Linked DNA regions of Arabidopsis thaliana. The protein of the gene in region 2 interacts with the protein of the main gene of each other region in a pairwise test. Each region holds a gene or a part of one and is shown on either strand. Other genes may lie near its edges.

Region 1 (5,682 bases), 570 kb from region 2:
ACAAACAGAAGTAAAGAGTGTTAAACATGTTTTTTACAAATTGTAAAAGCATCCAAAAACATCAATCAACACTAGTTCGTGAGGTTGCAGAAGCCACAAACAAACGTGTTTTAGGGCTTCGTGTCTTCTTTTTCTTCAATGTTTAACAAACAGATGAAAAGTGTTATAAACAAGCTTTTCCAAATTTCAGAAAGACAAACATCATACGATTATCTAGTTTAGCATTGCCTTAAGATAGTAAATCCAGAAAACAACTGAATCAAGACAGACATTTCAACAAAGGACTCGAACGAAGACTATCAAACATTCATCATTATTCTGGTTTGGTGTCTTCTTCTTCTTCAATCTTAGGCGCCAGATAGTATCGAATGTAACCCATCTCAGCCACCTTGTACTCCACCACGACCGGTAACTCAGAGGACAAACTGATGGTCACAGTTTCCGACAATGGAGTAGCCTTTGTGAAGGAGTTCATGTACCTCAATGCAAATGAAAGCGAAACAGGCTCGTTCATCTCTATCACAATAGCATCTTCAGGCTGCAAAACACACATACAAACATAAGGTCACTTCAACATTGTATTGGACAGATTATTAAACAAATCTCTCTAGATGACTAGTGATTGTTCATACTTTGTCGACGGTAGTATTCTGCCTGAGCACAATGTTTGCTGTCCCGATATCACCTGCTGTTGAAAACTTCACCCCTTCTTTTGTTACCGAGATCACAACTGCAAAATCATAACATCAAAACCAGAATCATGATTAGAGAATCCTCGCAGTGATACACCAAATAAACAAACAGTTCATTTACCTGTGTCACCAATGCTACTGAGATCTTTGCATATCCTGGAAAATTCACCAGAAGGCATTCTCACAATCGAGTGGTACTCAGCATCAGGAATTCCTAAATGCTCACTGTCGATATCCATCAGCTTCATCTCAAAATCTGCAATCTTGTCTTGTGCTGCATCATCAACACCATTTAAATAATGAGATTAACACCACATAGTCAATATCAAACAAAGTTCCTCTGTTAACTTTCACTAAATCAAGAAACTCTATTCACTTTCAAACTATAGTCTTTAAGCTAGAGACTATACCTATTCTGAAAACAAAAATGGAAGGACTCATTCTCATCAAGCAAGTTCTAGTTTCTGTCAAATGAAACCTATAAATAACAGTTCAGATCACTAATAACATCATTAACTACACAAAAACAAAGCCATATCAAACCTTATTCCAAACCAAAAACCCTCTATTAACATAGATTTTATCTTCTCTTTCATCTCTTACAAACTAAAGCTTTCAAGAAATGGACTGAATCATTCTCTACAATCATATTCTAGCTTCTGGCAAATCAAACCTATAAACACAGAATCAGGTCACCAATAGCATCAACATTGACAACAAAACCAAAGCCCTAACAAACAAAAATCGATTTGAAGAACTTACTGGGACTCTCAAACATGAAAGTAACAGTGTCGCTACCATCATCAGCTTTGATGGTGATGATATCATCATTTCCAGCACATTTCAGCATCTTAGACATATTACCAAGATTCATTCCCATAGAGAGGTTCCTATCGCATCTATAGTGCTCGAAACCTTCAGATCTAAGCAAAAGAGACACCAACGCGACATGGCTCGAATCCATAGCTTGAAGCGAGAACCCTGTGGTCGAACAGTCGAAGTTCGCATCGTTCACCAGATCTTTGACCGCTTCTAGAACCTTCTTCAGTAGAGAACCTTGAACTAAACGAAGCTCCAACATCTTCTGGGAAATTATCGAAAGGTTAGAGTGTGAATCGAAACGGTTAGGGTTTTTAGAGCTGTTGAAATTTCTGGGAGGAGATTGCAATTGTTAGCGGGAAGTGATATTATAAGCTGAGATTTTGTGGCGCCATTTAGCGATTTTAGGGTATTTTTGTTCCCGCCTGTGTGTGACGATGAATTATCATCTGTGTGAGTCCGTATTGTTTATTTCAGTACACCACCATCACTTTAAGCTTTCTTATTTCATGGGTTTAAATTGGGCCAAACAAACATTCGGCCCAACAGCAGCTGTAATATTAAAGATTCCCGAAAAAATCGAAACGAGAGCAAATCTGCTCTTCAAGGTAATCTTCGTGTTCGAGACTGAAGAAGAAATCCAGAAATCATTGAGGAAGGAAGAGAATTAGGAAATGGCGCATAGAATACTGAGAGATCACGAGGCTGATGGATGGGAACGTTCTGATTTCCCAATCATCTGTGAGTCTTGTCTCGGTGACAATCCTTACGTGAGAATGGTATATTCTTCGCTTCCTATGTTTCTCCTCAAACAAATTCGATTTCCTTGCCTTTAGCTAGATTTTTTTTTAACATTCATGTGTCTTTATTAAGATCTCCTTTCATTTGTCCATTTTCGAGCTTGTTTAATGCTTTTATGTTTCTTAGTGTTGAAGCTGCAATTTTAGTGATTTGAGATTTTAGGGTTTAAGCGATTTAATATACAATTCATAACCTTTGGTAAAAATCAGAATTCATGGAGTTGTAGTTCAAAATGATATCTTTGGTTTGTTCTGATCAAATTTGCTTAGAGGGAATGTAATTCATTGAATACTGTCTCATGTTATGTCTGGTAGTGATGTGCAGCTTCATGTTTGATTGATTGATTGATTTATTGTTGTTGTTTGGTATGTAGACAAAGGCGAATTACGATAAAGAGTGTAAGATCTGTACCCGGCCTTTCACGGTTTTCAGATGGCGACCTGGTAGGGATGCGAGATACAAGAAGACTGAAGTTTGTCAGACATGTTGCAAGTTGAAGAATGTGTGCCAAGTTTGTCTCTTGGATCTTGAGTATGGTCTTCCAGTTCAGGTCAGAGACACGGCGCTCAACATTAGTACTCATGATTCTATCCCAAAAAGTGATGTGAACCGAGAGTTTTTCGCTGAAGAGCATGATCGAAAGGTATGGTGACTCTGCGTTCTAACTAGTTATATTATTTGAGTATTGATTGGTTTGAGATTTGGCTATACAGTTTCTCTACTTTGTAATGGCCTATTGAAATGGTTTTGTTTTCTTGTGTAGACGAGAGCTGGACTAGATTATGAGTCTTCTTTTGGGAAGATTCGGCCCAACGATACCATTCGTATGCTTCAAAGGACAACGCCTTACTACAAAAGGAACCGAGCTCATATTTGTAGTTTCTTCATTAGGGGAGAGTGTACAAGAGGTGATGAGTGTCCATACCGTCATGAGATGCCTGAAACAGGAGAGTTATCCCAGCAGAACATTAAAGACCGTTATTATGGGTAAGCATACTTCTAACTTTCATTTTGTTTGAGTATGATAATATTGAGTTACTCCTCAATTTCTTGCTTTGGTATATCATGAAAGAGAGTTATGAAAAATACATCAGTTTGTGTGCGTAAACTGGCTGTTATTTTGGTGATATTGGAACTGTTTTCTCATCTTATTCTTCACTTCCTGCAGTGTAAACGATCCAGTTGCGTTGAAGTTACTTGGCAAGGCTGGGGAGATGGGTACTTTGGAATCTCCAGAGGATCAAAGCATCAGAACGCTTTATGTTGGTGGGCTAAACTCGAGAGTCCTTGAGCAAGACATTCGTGATCAATTCTACGCCCATGGAGAAATCGAATCCATCAGAATCTTGGCTGAGAAAGCATGTGCGTTTGTCACTTACACAACCCGAGAAGGAGCAGAGAAAGCTGCAGAAGAGCTCAGTAACAGGCTAGTTGTCAACGGTCAGAGGCTAAAACTCACATGGGGAAGACCTCAGGTTCCCAAACCTGATCAAGATGGTTCTAACCAACAGGGCAGTGTGGCTCATAGTGGTTTACTACCTCGAGCAGTTATATCTCAGCAACAGAATCAACCTCCACCAATGCTACAATACTATATGCACCCACCACCACCACAACCTCCTCATCAAGACAGACCATTTTACCCATCAATGGACCCTCAGAGAATGGGTGCAGTTAGTTCGTCCAAAGAAAGCGGTTCAAGCACCAGTGACAACAGAGGAGCTTCTTCTTCTTCTTACACTATGCCACCACATGGCCACTATCCTCAGCACCAGCCATACCCGCCACCATCATATGGAGGATATATGCAACCACCTTACCAGCAGTATCCTCCTTACCACCATGGCCATTCACAACAAGCTGATCATGATTACCCACAACAACCAGGTCCCGGTTCAAGGCCTAATCCTCCACATCCAAGTTCAGTCTCTGCTCCACCACCTGACTCTGTGTCTGCAGCACCTTCAGGATCCTCTCAGCAATCTGCTGATGCTGCTGTTACTACTGGTTCGTCTCAATAGGAACCGTTGTCAGTTAAAATGTAGTGCGAATTTCCGGCCATATCTACATTTTGACTTTTTGCTTCTGCTATTTAAAATTAGTTTCCAATGTAAGAGAAGAGAATTGTTACAGTAGTTGTAGACTCTTGTTGACATTATAATTTTGAATTTTTGATAATCCAACATACACATTAAATCCAAGCTGAAACCATAGACAACAAAATTCTCTTGAAGCTTCTTCAAATTCCTCTTTAAACAGCTTTCAATGTTGTATAGATGAGACATATCATACCATCCTCATCAACATAACTATCACAGTTACTGAATGGTTTGATCTTTATAAGCTATGTACCAAGGTTTTAGATTCACAACCAGAAAGAACAAAGGACCTAACCAAATTTACCTAACCATAATCTTATTATTGAAAACAGACATTACAGTGATACAAGACTTAAAAGTTGGACTCAGAGCTTACTAGCTTGTCTACCAAACATAGAATGTCGACCTTCCGCTATAATCTCCCCGGTCATCTTGTTTCTGACTACAACGATTGTTCCTTTATAACCTCCTCTCTCTCCTAACAATCTCGACGTTATCTCCAACTCCTCCTGAAAATTCATTTCCATTTCAATATCATATCTCTCAATCCATTTCTATAGCAAACAAACAGTCCCAAAGTACAGATTGAAAAAAGACTTGAGCAGACTTACACCAAGCTTAGCTTTTGAAAGGAATGCAATAGACATGTCCACTGAAACACTCATAGGTAAGCCTTCGCCATGTACAAGTGCTCCACCAACTTCATCCACAAGATTTGCAATCGCACCATTTGCTAAATTCTTGTCTCTGTCCTGACATTATCAAAACATTAAAATATCAACATCGTCTCCAATAAAAGAAAAAAACGACACAATCAAGTTCAAGCATCTTCTAGATTCTGCTCAAGTTTCCAAAGACTAATAGTATCACCGAGAACTATCATCTTCAAACATCTGACAATAATGCCATTAAACCTCAAATTAGCTTATTTCCAAAAACCTATCACGCTAATTCGACAATTAATCAAAATAGAAGGGGCTTAGAGGATTGAGAGAAAGACTTACCGTCAAACGAAGAGGAACCTTGAAAGAGCAGGAAATGAAACCCGGTTCGACTCGGTTGACTCGGATTCCTCTGAGACTAAAATTCTCGTAGAAGCTTTTCCCTTCACCTAAAAATTCTTCAACTCGCGGTGCCTCACCGTCGTCAACCACCTCATCGCTCAATTGCAGATACTCCATAATTTTCTCCATCATCGTCTTTCTAATTTCTTTCAATTCTTATTTTATTTTTATTTTTTGGATAAATAAATAAATTACTCAATTCATATT
Region 2 (5,195 bases):
CGTATGTACTATGTATCTTGGATTTTATGTTCAATGAAAATTCATCCATTTCATTGTCTATCAAAGCTAAATACAAAGTTATGGCTCTTGGAATTTGTGAACATGTTTGGATTGCCTATATTATGTAAATATATATTTTGGTTTTATATTATGTAAATATATAAAGCATGCTTCTTATGCTCTCTCTGTGTACTCTACAGTGACAACACTTTAGCTCTTCATATTGCTCGGAATCTTATTTTCACGAAAAAAACTAAACACAGAGACATATATTTTCATATTGTTTGGCGTATCCGATATAGTTTTATGAAGGGTGTTTGATTTTGATTGTACCGGTTTGCTCTACCGCATTCCTGTCTGTTGGTTTAGGTTTGTTGGGTTACACTTACATATAGTACAATCCTTTTGTAACAAAACTGTAGATGGAAGTTGTAATCCTTTTGTTGAACTCTTCTAATAATCCAAGCACAATCCATAATCAAAAGGCCAAAGTAGTCATTCTCGCAGTAGATGACTTTTAAAAGTACGAACATTCTGTAGCTTTTAACGTCTTGTATAAAAATGATGATCATCGTTGGGAAAAATATTAATGATCATCATGTGACAACAAAGTACAAACTCCTTTAACCTAAATATATTATCATGTATTTCATCAAACCAAATATATGTACATATATATATACTATATGTAAAAGTGCCAAAAAGTGATAAATGTCATTCTCTATATAGCCCGCCTATCTATATGACTAAAACAATTATTTCAAGATGAATTATAGAAAAATCTTCTGTCAAACCCAATTAGACCAAGTAAAGCAGACTAAACTATCGAGATCCTTTGGTATCACTGTCACAAAGCATTGAATACTCAATAGCAACTTTTTCATAAAAATCCCAAATTTGTAATAAATTTGACTTTTCTATTAAATAGTCGCAACTTTTTAGCAAGCTAAGCTATATTACAAAAGAAAATTGGTATCTGCACAGATGATAATGAACACCTTTTTCTTCATTACTCATGTAATACGACCTATGCTTTTAACGTTCTTCAATTACTCTTTACTTAACCGAAGAAATAGAAACCGCAAGTAAAAACCAGAAAATTCAAACTCACTCGTAGAACAAAAATATGAGATTACAATATCCCAGCCTAACGCCAGTACTAAACCAAAACACACATAAAACCCATCTTTTCAAATATCACAATCTTGATGATCAATGCAAAGATGATAAGAAACAAACAAGCAAAATTGAATAATAATAACAAACACTAAATGAGTAATAATAGTCTTGAATCATAAATATATGGATAGATGGTAATACTAATTAATATAGCGCTTACTCTAGCTCCATTCATCACATTAATTTCCTCCTTCTTGTTCAATGCATGTCATCATGAATTTGAACCTCCATGGTTGTCTGAAAGAAATACATGTGGTAATTTAATTATGAAAGATTTAATTATTGTCTGGTTTCTTGATTAATAACCTATTATACTTAAAATATATAAATACATTAAAAAGAAGAAGCAAACCTTAGTTTAGAGGTGTGAGTTTGGAGGAGAAGAAGAAGAGTTTGGTTGAGTAGCTTCTTCTCCGTGGAGTAGTCTTGTAGTGTTGGGGAAACTAAGGCCTTGCATCATCATCATCCCATGAGAACCATACTGTGATGATGAAGCAAACATCGAAGAAGCTTGATTCTGATGATGATGATGATCCGACGTCGTTTGATGATGATCCCAAGAACGAAACGAATGAGGGAATAAACTGGACTGAAGGGTACCCCTTTGTTGTTGTTGTTGTTGGCCACCAAGAAACACTTGTTGTTGCTGACTATTAAGCAATGTCATCATCGACGGTTGATGATGATGATGGTGAGGATGATGATTCACCATGAAACCACCATTACTCCTTTCTTCTTGTTCTTGTTGTTGATGTTCTGATGAGGATGATGACGTCATAGTTAAGTCGTGATGATTCCATCCAGAGATTCTCCCGAACGTGTCGAAATGAGTCGTGGTGAAATTGTTGGTCTCGGGAACTACGACTGTGTTGTTGTTCCCTTGAAATGGGTGAAGAGAGAGACCAAGATCTTGGCTAAGGTTTGGTGGTGGTGTTGTTGTTCTTGAGACCATGTTGTTGTCATCCTGATGAGGGTAGTTTTGGAAATTGATGTTTGTACCACCACCACCGTTTGTTGTTGTCGTCGCCGGGAAAAACGTTTTCATTGCGTCTTCAGGATCAAGATTGGCCGCCACGAACTGCGTTTGGTCATTGTTCTCTCTTTGGAAAACCAAAGTGGGAGATTCCGGTTTAGTATTCACCGGTTCTTGACGAGTAGTAGTAGTAGTAGTCTCCCCGAGTTCAAGCTTATCAATAGCGGTTTTGGCTTTCTTGATGAGCCAATCAACGGCTTTGCTAGGCCGGTCATAACCTAACCGGTCTTGCACATCGTAGAATTGAATCGCCGTGTGAGCTGAGAGTCTCACGCGCCGGTCACGTGGACCCTTTGATGTGAACACTTTGCTATGACGGTCTTTGCGTCCAGTGGCTCGGATTATGTGACCGCCTTGAACCTCAACTATCTCTCCTCCTCCTTCTCCGACGCTATATCCTTTAAGTCCCATTATTTTTTTACCTTTCAAAATGACATTCCAAGAGTTGTTTTAACTTGGAAGAAAAACTTGCGTGCCGTTTTTGTTGCCCACTTGCTTTGTTTACCTCTTCAAAATGCTTGCCGTTTTGTTGTTATTGTGGTGTTTGGTGTGTAGTGAGTTAATAACATCTGATGCAGGCTGGACACAGCTACCTGAAAGCTGCTACAAGAAGCAACTCTTCTATGCAGATCCCCAAAAGATCTGCCATGGCAGTCACAAGATTCAATGACCCAACATACCCAAATCAAAAAAGGGAAAAAATGAAGAAATATTTAGAAGAAAAGAGATTGGAATCTTTAGTCTAGGGTTTTCCCAAAGAGATGAGAATTTGGACAACAAAATTGATATTAAAAATAAAAGAGCGAGAGAGAGAGAGAGAGAGAGAGAGAGATGCTACTTTAATATATTGATATGTTTAGTTGGTCTAAAATCGAAGGACAAGAAGAAGAAGAGGAAAAAAAAGAGAGAGAGTATACTATTAGATTGTTGGTGGAAAGGATAGCAGAAGTTAAGGGTTCAGAATAGGAAAGTAAACTAAATAAATACCCTTTTGCTTTCAACCTTTTGTTCCTTATTATAAGATTCCTATTTCACATATCAACATGTGTCCTTGTTAAGTTCTTAGCCACATATTTGTTTATTTCAAATTTTTTTGTTACAGAAAAATTCCTCAATCATTATTCTTCAATCATGCGTGCCATATCGAATTCTTGAAACATACATAACTATATATATCATATAATAAGGAATATAGGAAAATTGAAAAACATCAATAAATGAACATATATCATATCTTAGTTACACCAATTTGTAATATTTTGTTTGGTTAATGTCAAATCCTCCTTCACTAATTAATTAAAACTTGAAAAGCATATGTTTCACACAACATACACACACATTGGTCGGCTTAGGATTACATGCTAATCAAAGTCGACAATGGAATAATTTGACTCTAGTATGATTTTTTTTTTTGGTAAGCTGAGGGGTGGCAATTGCCTACCCCAATTTATTAAGAACAAACTACAAAAAATTACAATAAAACAGCTCGAGGGAACTCTGTTCCATTAACATCTGCGAGCAAAAGTAAACGGACTCCCTCTGGGCATGCATCAAAACAATGAAGCCCTAGCGGCAAGGTAAAGGCATAGTTTGCTAACCCGTCAGCGAGACGGTTAGCTTCCCTATACACGTGTGACACACGGACTAACCAGTCCCTCGTAAAGAAGCCTTGGCACAACCGTACCAGGAAGGACAGCGGATGAGCGTTGCTTACCCCTGTGCTTAAAAAACCCACCACCAACTTGCAATCCAAGTCTAACTCCACTCGTCGAAACCCCTTGTCCCACGCAATGAGCAGCCCATAGTAGGCGCCCCATAACTCGGCTAATGGCGCTGCACAAGATCCAATGTTTAGTGCAAAACCACCTAGCCACTCCCCCTGCCCATTCCGGATGGCCCCTCCTGCCGCAGCCAGCCCGTGATTCCCACGGGACGCTCCATCCGTGGTAATTTTCACCCACCCATCGCTTGGAACCTGCCACCTGATCATTCTTTCCACCCGCACACCATTAGGCCGGTTACCAACAGCACCAACATGTACTCTCCTCACCTCCTCCGCCATGTCTTTGATGAACTTCAGCCTGTCCCGACAAATCTTTCGTTCCCCAAACACATCACAACACCTCCACTTCCAAGCCCACCAAATTCCCATACCAAAAAGAGTAGGCCAAATCCCCTTTACTGGATCCATATTTGTAAATAACCACTCCAATAAAGACTGGCTAAAAAACTCATGATGTCGTCTCAGTGGCAGCAACCGACGCCAAATCGGTTCCATAGCGGGGCAGTCACGCAACACATGGAGTATTGTTTCCTCGGCTCCATTACACACCGAACATATAGCATTCTCACTCAAATGGCGCCGGACTCTCTCCACATTAGTCATGATCACATTCTGGCTCACCAACCAAATAAACACCCGTACTCTCTCAGGCGTGATCAGCTTCCAGATTCTGTTAAAGAAGCTCCCCATATTCGGCCTGTCTCCAACGTCACCTTGTAGGAGGGAATACGCAGAGCGGACTGTGAAGGCCCCATCCTGTGTACCCTTCCATGATATCTCGTCTCCATTACCCAGAAAAACCTGAACCACAACCGAGAGCAACCGCCTCTTAACTGTCTCTGGCAGATACAAACCCAGAATTTCCAGGTTCCAACCTGATCCCGGCAACCAATAATCGGCTGCCACCTTTATTCTCTCCCCCTCCGGTATCATATCAGTCCCAAGCTCCACCAACGGCTCCTGCAACAGCCAGCGATCCAACCAGAACCTTATTGTGCACCCATCTCCAGGCACCCATCCAACGCCCTTAACCACCACTTCCCGGAGCCCTACTGCCACACTTCTCCACGTGGAGGACCATCTTGGTTGTGGTTTCAGCCAGCTAGTATCTTGTACTCCACCCACTTTGTACTTTTTGCGAACAACCCGTGCCCATAAGCTCTCTTTATCTTGAAGCAGACGCCACCCCACCTTGGCTAC
Region 3 (5,490 bases), on a different chromosome or scaffold from region 2:
AGATCATAGTGTGTTATAACAAAAAAATTCTTTAAAACTTCATTACTTACACGATAATGATTATCTTGGCTCCAAACTTCGTAAATAAACAAGATAAACACTTCTTGAGCATCAATGTACGTTCGCAATTAATGTTTTTTCCTGGGTTCATTTTTAACTCAACAATTATTATCAATAATTTTATAATATTATAACATGTAATAATGATTTTGCATTAATTATAACAACAGTCACGTCTAAACTTTTTGGGCCATTAAATGTTTATGTCACTTCGTTTTTAATAAAAAAAACCTCCCTTCTAATTGTACAGCTGCACTCCTCAACGTGAAACAAAAATATCTTCAACTAAACCGGAACAGTGTACCTAACTAAACCTGACTAACTAAACTGTACATTCAACAGTTTCTTAGCTCTAGCAGCAAGGGCAAAAGGGTCAAATTTCAGCTGAAAAGACAAAACGTGAAAACCACTTTTCACTTTGTCAATCTCTGAAAATAAAACATGGTCAAAGGGTGTGGTCCGCAAATTACCCTTTATAATACCATGTCAATGTGAACAAAAGAAGAAGAATAATGTGTTGGTCATGAGAAGAAGATATGACAAATCTATCTAGTTTTCGAAATAGCGCACTACCAGTTAGACAAAAATGAAGTCTAGTAGAGCAGGCATGAAGCCAACATGTCAAATACATACTTGGGGCCTATGGTGGTGCGGTCTAAACATTTAACTAGTGTTTGTGACATATTGTTTCAAGGCTTATAGTTTTGCCAAAGGGAAGGAAGTAATAGAATAACTGAAGACTTCTCTTGGCTTGTGATTGAGTTGTAAAAAGCAGGGGCTGGGCTTGGCCTCCTAGGGGAATCCAGACACTAGAAAAACAATCGTCGATGGAACTCTCAACTAAGGGAAATCCACACTCAATACTACTTGAAGAATCTAGGACGAAGCAAAGGGACCAAAAGACACATTTTTGAAACCCTCTTTTCTTCACGAGACTTTATCTTAAATGGACCCGAATATGGTCTTTGGTTTGAGTGCAGCTTCGGGTGGCTATGGTCCGGTCTTCAGCAGTATGGGACCTTGCGAGGACCACTAAGGCTGGTCATATGAGTCTTGGACTGAACCGGTTGGACTTTATCAACTATAAAATAAAATTATGTATAACAGCCAGAAAAAAAAAACAATAATATAGCCTACATAACGATTTAGAATCCAAATAGGTAACATCAATGATCTACAAAACTTCAGTCCTGGTTAAAGCAAAAGAGTCTAACTCAGAGAAATAACATATTAAGATTACGACACAACTTGGAGCCAGCAGATTTACATGGTACACTACCACGAAAGAGGTTCACTGTTTTAGGGAACAAACATAGAGAGAATAACAAAACTAAAAAGAAGTAAATAAAGAGTTCTTTGCTTCTTCAACAAGCAACTAAAACCAAAACACACTAACTTCAAGACTCCTATTATTACTACTACTTCTTCTGCTGCTGCTGCTGCTTCATCATTAAGATTCCTTGTGCCACACTCTTTCAATTCCCATCATCTGATGATTTCAAGTAAAGGGTTTCTCCACCATCCCCTGAACTTCCTCCTCTGCCTTCACCGCCACCACCACTTCCCATTTCCGGCTTCCCACGGCCAAAATCATGAAACCCACCAGCCTCTCCCTGAAGGATATGGAGACCACTGCTTCCTCCTCCTCCGCTGCTCGAGCTCATTCCAAGCTGGCTATGGTGCAATTGCTGATGCTGAAGCGTCGCGTAAGGCTGCTGCTGCTGCTGTTGCTGAGCATACAACATTGAAGATCGAGCCGCCATTAGAGACTGCTGAGTCATCTGTTGCTGTTGAGTCGCTTGTTGCTGCTGCAAATAGTGTGACCCTCCTTCTCCCTGAATCATCCCACCACCAGCAGATCCATACTAATAACCAAACAAAACAAATCACTTTCTCAATTGATCATACAACAAAATTTGGAATACTTCACTGTATAAACAATCACCTGGCTATGCACACTTGGTGGCTGAGGCTGAGAATCTGCTATTGCAGCTAGGTACATTAGGTTGCGTTGAAGCCTTGCTTGATTCCTATAACCATTTTAATCATCATTTCTTGTTACTCAACAGAACACAAGTGAAATCATAAAGGAGATATGTTGTCTCTTACTCGGCGCATTCGCTAAGCTTTCCAGAGTTTTGAGACTCAACAATCTTCAGAATCAACGATTTGTTTTCGTCCAAGTACTACAATCAAACATTTTCATTAATCATTACTAATGCTACAAACAAAAAATTTGCATACTATTTTGTTTTTGTTGTAATAAAGACATAGAAAATCTCAAAAGGAGACCCCAGTAACTTAAATTCCGACTTATCTCAAAAGACAATAATGTTGAAATATCACAAAAGTGTAACGAAAGATTTTCTTCGAAAAGATTTTGAGGACCACACAAAAAAAAAACTGAGATAAGGACCAGATGTTGTTTCGGACCACAAAGTATATCTGGTCATGTAAGCAATAAAAGAAACACTTGGACTGGAAAATACACATAGATCTACTTATAATGATAACAAATCTAAACAGGACCACCCACAATATTCACATAAATGGCTTTGTGGTTTTTGCCATCAATGAAACTTCCAGAACCCGAAAACCAAGACAAGAAGAAAAAACGAGATATGTGAAACAAATCTTCAGTTCCCAAGATTTGTCTGTTTTGAACACGTTATTTTTCATTACATGTTTCAAGAACTCAAAACACAACTGGACCCTAAACATTCATTTTCATTGAAAGAAAGAATCTTTCTTAACTTTGTCTGGTTTTAGACATTTAATTAGCATCAAAGTTAACTGATAATACACCAAATCTATAAGGAAAAGAAAAAAAGTTGAAAGAATCATCTTAGTGACCAAAGCATCTCTACCAACCAAATTTATCAAACATAAACACACATGTATTAAAACTAATTTCTCTATGAAAAAAAAAGACATGGAAACAAGAATAACAAGAACTCTTTTACCAAACAAAAAAGAACCAATGAAAAAAAATCATCTATGTTATGAGAACAGAAGAAAAGGGTTTCACATACTTTTTTATATAATATAAAGAAAAAGTTATAAGGTACTTGCAAGAGAGATTTCTTCACTTTCCTTTATGAATTCAAAGAAACATATAATAAAGAAAAAAGAAAGAGATAATATAATAGAAGAAGAAGGAGAAGGAGGAGAAGGAGAAGAGAACCTGTTGGATATGATCAGAGGTAACATTGCTGGGGTAGTAACCAGCCATCATGGGCTGCATCTGCATCAGGTGCTGTTGCATTTCTTTTGCTATTTTATATAAAACCTGATAATTCCTTCTTATTTATTTATATATTTTATATATATAAGTTTTTATAGAGACAACCCCCACCACAAAACCCAGAGGAAAAAGAGAAGTCTCACCAAGTGAGAGAGAGAGATATTAACTTTTGTATCTGTCTCTCTCTCTTTCCTCTATGCTTCTGTATATAGAAAACTCTTAACTATTGAAGATGTGTATCTCTGTGTGTGTGTTATCTCGCTTTCTCTCCTCCACAAAAGTTGTTTTGCGTTAAAAGACTGAGAGAGACAGTGAAGTCTCTTAAATAGAAAGAGAGAGAGAGAAGAGAAGAGAGTGTTTTTCTCTTTTTCTTGGGTTTTGGGGTTTGGTTTTGTTGGTTTCTTTCTGTCTCATCCTATCTCTGTCTCTGCGAAGAAGAGGAGGTCACGTGACGAGTCATACTTTATTATAGAGACGTGAGACCTTTACATATATACTACTACTTATCAATATGTACACATTGTTGATTAAATTATTACTTTGAAGTTTGAACCCTTCGTATATAGAGACGTAACTATATACCAAATAATACTGTTTACTCCTTCGTATGTATATACGGTGTATTTACTTGTATATATATGTAATTATGTATATTAAAATCTCTTACAACTTTTGTATAATATTTTCTACATTTATAGATTCATTTCGGGATTTTATAATAAAGTAATGCAAAGTAGGATTTATTGTTTTCTAGATTGTTTTGGTAATTTATTGTTTTCTAGTTTTCTAGTTTTCTTTTACTATATCAAAGAATATTTTTGTCGTCTTATTTTGTTTTGGTAATTAATATATAAAAAAAAGATGTCTTTAGTTTTTCGAAAAATAAGATTCATGTATTTACATTTTAATATAAAAAAATGTTCTACATAGGAGTTTTTAACCTAGTGGATTGAATTTGTATTTTTTTAATAATTTATTATATTTAGTTTTACACAACATTTTTTTTACAATGGTTTAATTTTTTATCATGAGAGGTCACATCTAGATGCGATTCTTCACATTTAAAATAAAATGGATTAATGAAAAAATTAGATTAAGAAGTAGCTATGTGAGATAATTTTCTTTGTAGATGTTTGATTGTGTTGATCAAAAGAGTCTCTTCTCTCTTATACCTTAAAATCATATTTATAGGATTTAATCTCAACCAAATTACTGAATTATGTTGTGACTTAGTCTTCTTATGCGGATTAGATTTGGCATAACTAGTTCCCTAGAACATGTTATCAAAACAAGTGTGTTTGGTTTGTTAGCTTAATGATGTTTTTCATTTTGTTTTAAAAGTAGCGCATGACTCGTCTCGTCTCATCACTAACCATCTTTATGTGTTTTGGCAAAATGCCAAAATGTAAACACATTTCTTACGCTTACCAATAGTTATCTTCTTTTTTTTTTTGGTCTTTTTTTTTTATCGAATCACGTAACACATTATAATTGACTGATATCTTAATAGATGAAATTTATCCTCAACAATGATCAATACATGTTTCTTTTTTTTTACATATGTTAATACTAACTCGATCACTTGTCTCGACCAATAAGACGAGTTATCGACCATCAAAACACTGCCCTAACTTGGTTTGAATGTTTAATATTGATGATTCTCAACCAAAGGGTCTCTAAAGTTTTTGAAATGCTTTTGTAAAGAAAATAATAATAATTAGTTTGGAGTTATTTGATAAGTCTCATTAACTTTTTGTTCGAATTCTTGAAGTACGTTTCGATGGTCGGTAATTTAAAAAGAAAAAGATTCAACAGCTATATTATCTTTGCGTGGTTATACTTAATTCCACGTTAAACCCTCTTGTAGATGTGGTTAAATATTAATTAACACTTTATTCGTTGGTACCAAAAATGGATCCGAGATATTCCTTCTGCATATATGAACCACGGAGGCTCAACTTTTAATGTTTGTTTGTTTAACTATAGTATTATGTATGAACATTAAAGTAATCTGTAAGGATAAATGAATTGTTTTCTTTTCCCGATTAATTATGTCTTATAGACAATAACCAAACCAATAGTGTTTCTATGCCATCTAAAAGCAAACCAAAAACACTAGGAACAAAACTAAAAATACCATTTCTTCTTTTTTATCAGACCAATATAGTTGTTTGCATACTGTAAAT

Evidence for each region.
Region 1: the proteins of TCP10 (region 2) and MAC5B interact in binary tests that used the Arabidopsis thaliana proteins (3 or more experiments, as listed by UniProt).
Region 3: the proteins of TCP10 (region 2) and AN3 interact in binary tests that used the Arabidopsis thaliana proteins (3 or more experiments, as listed by UniProt).

The regions. Positions count from the first base shown.
Region 1 is NC_003071.7:12,649,826-12,655,507, forward strand, and holds MAC5B (CCCH-type zinc fingerfamily protein with RNA-binding domain-containing protein), read left to right. Parts: upstream 1-2,000; 5' UTR 2,001-2,185; coding exon 2,186-2,290; intron 2,291-2,685; coding exon 2,686-2,955; intron 2,956-3,075; coding exon 3,076-3,299; intron 3,300-3,480; coding exon 3,481-4,333; 3' UTR 4,334-4,511; downstream 4,512-5,682. Other genes in the region: PCNA2 (proliferating cell nuclear antigen 2), read right to left, coding at 314-538, 633-730, 814-966, 1,455-1,773; AT2G29590 (Thioesterase superfamily protein), read right to left, coding at 4,777-4,920, 5,023-5,163, 5,416-5,607.
Region 2 is NC_003071.7:13,219,447-13,224,641, forward strand, and holds TCP10 (TCP domain protein 10), read right to left. Parts: upstream 3,164-5,195; 5' UTR 2,624-3,163; coding exon 1,538-2,623; 3' UTR 1,532-1,537; intron 1,417-1,531; 3' UTR 1,032-1,416; downstream 1-1,031. UniProt on the Arabidopsis thaliana protein: Plays a pivotal role in the control of morphogenesis of shoot organs by negatively regulating the expression of boundary-specific genes such as CUC genes, probably through the induction of miRNA (e.g. miR164). Participates in ovule development.
Region 3 is NC_003076.8:10,646,296-10,651,785, forward strand, and holds AN3 (SSXT family protein), read right to left. Parts: upstream 3,768-5,490; 5' UTR 3,326-3,767; coding exon 3,245-3,325; exon of another isoform or gene 3,093-3,244; intron 3,081-3,092; exon of another isoform or gene 2,247-3,080; coding exon 2,170-2,246; intron 2,091-2,169; coding exon 2,006-2,090; intron 1,926-2,005; coding exon 1,536-1,925; 3' UTR 1,172-1,535; downstream 1-1,171. UniProt on the Arabidopsis thaliana protein: Transcription coactivator that plays a role in the regulation of cell expansion in leaf and cotyledons tissues.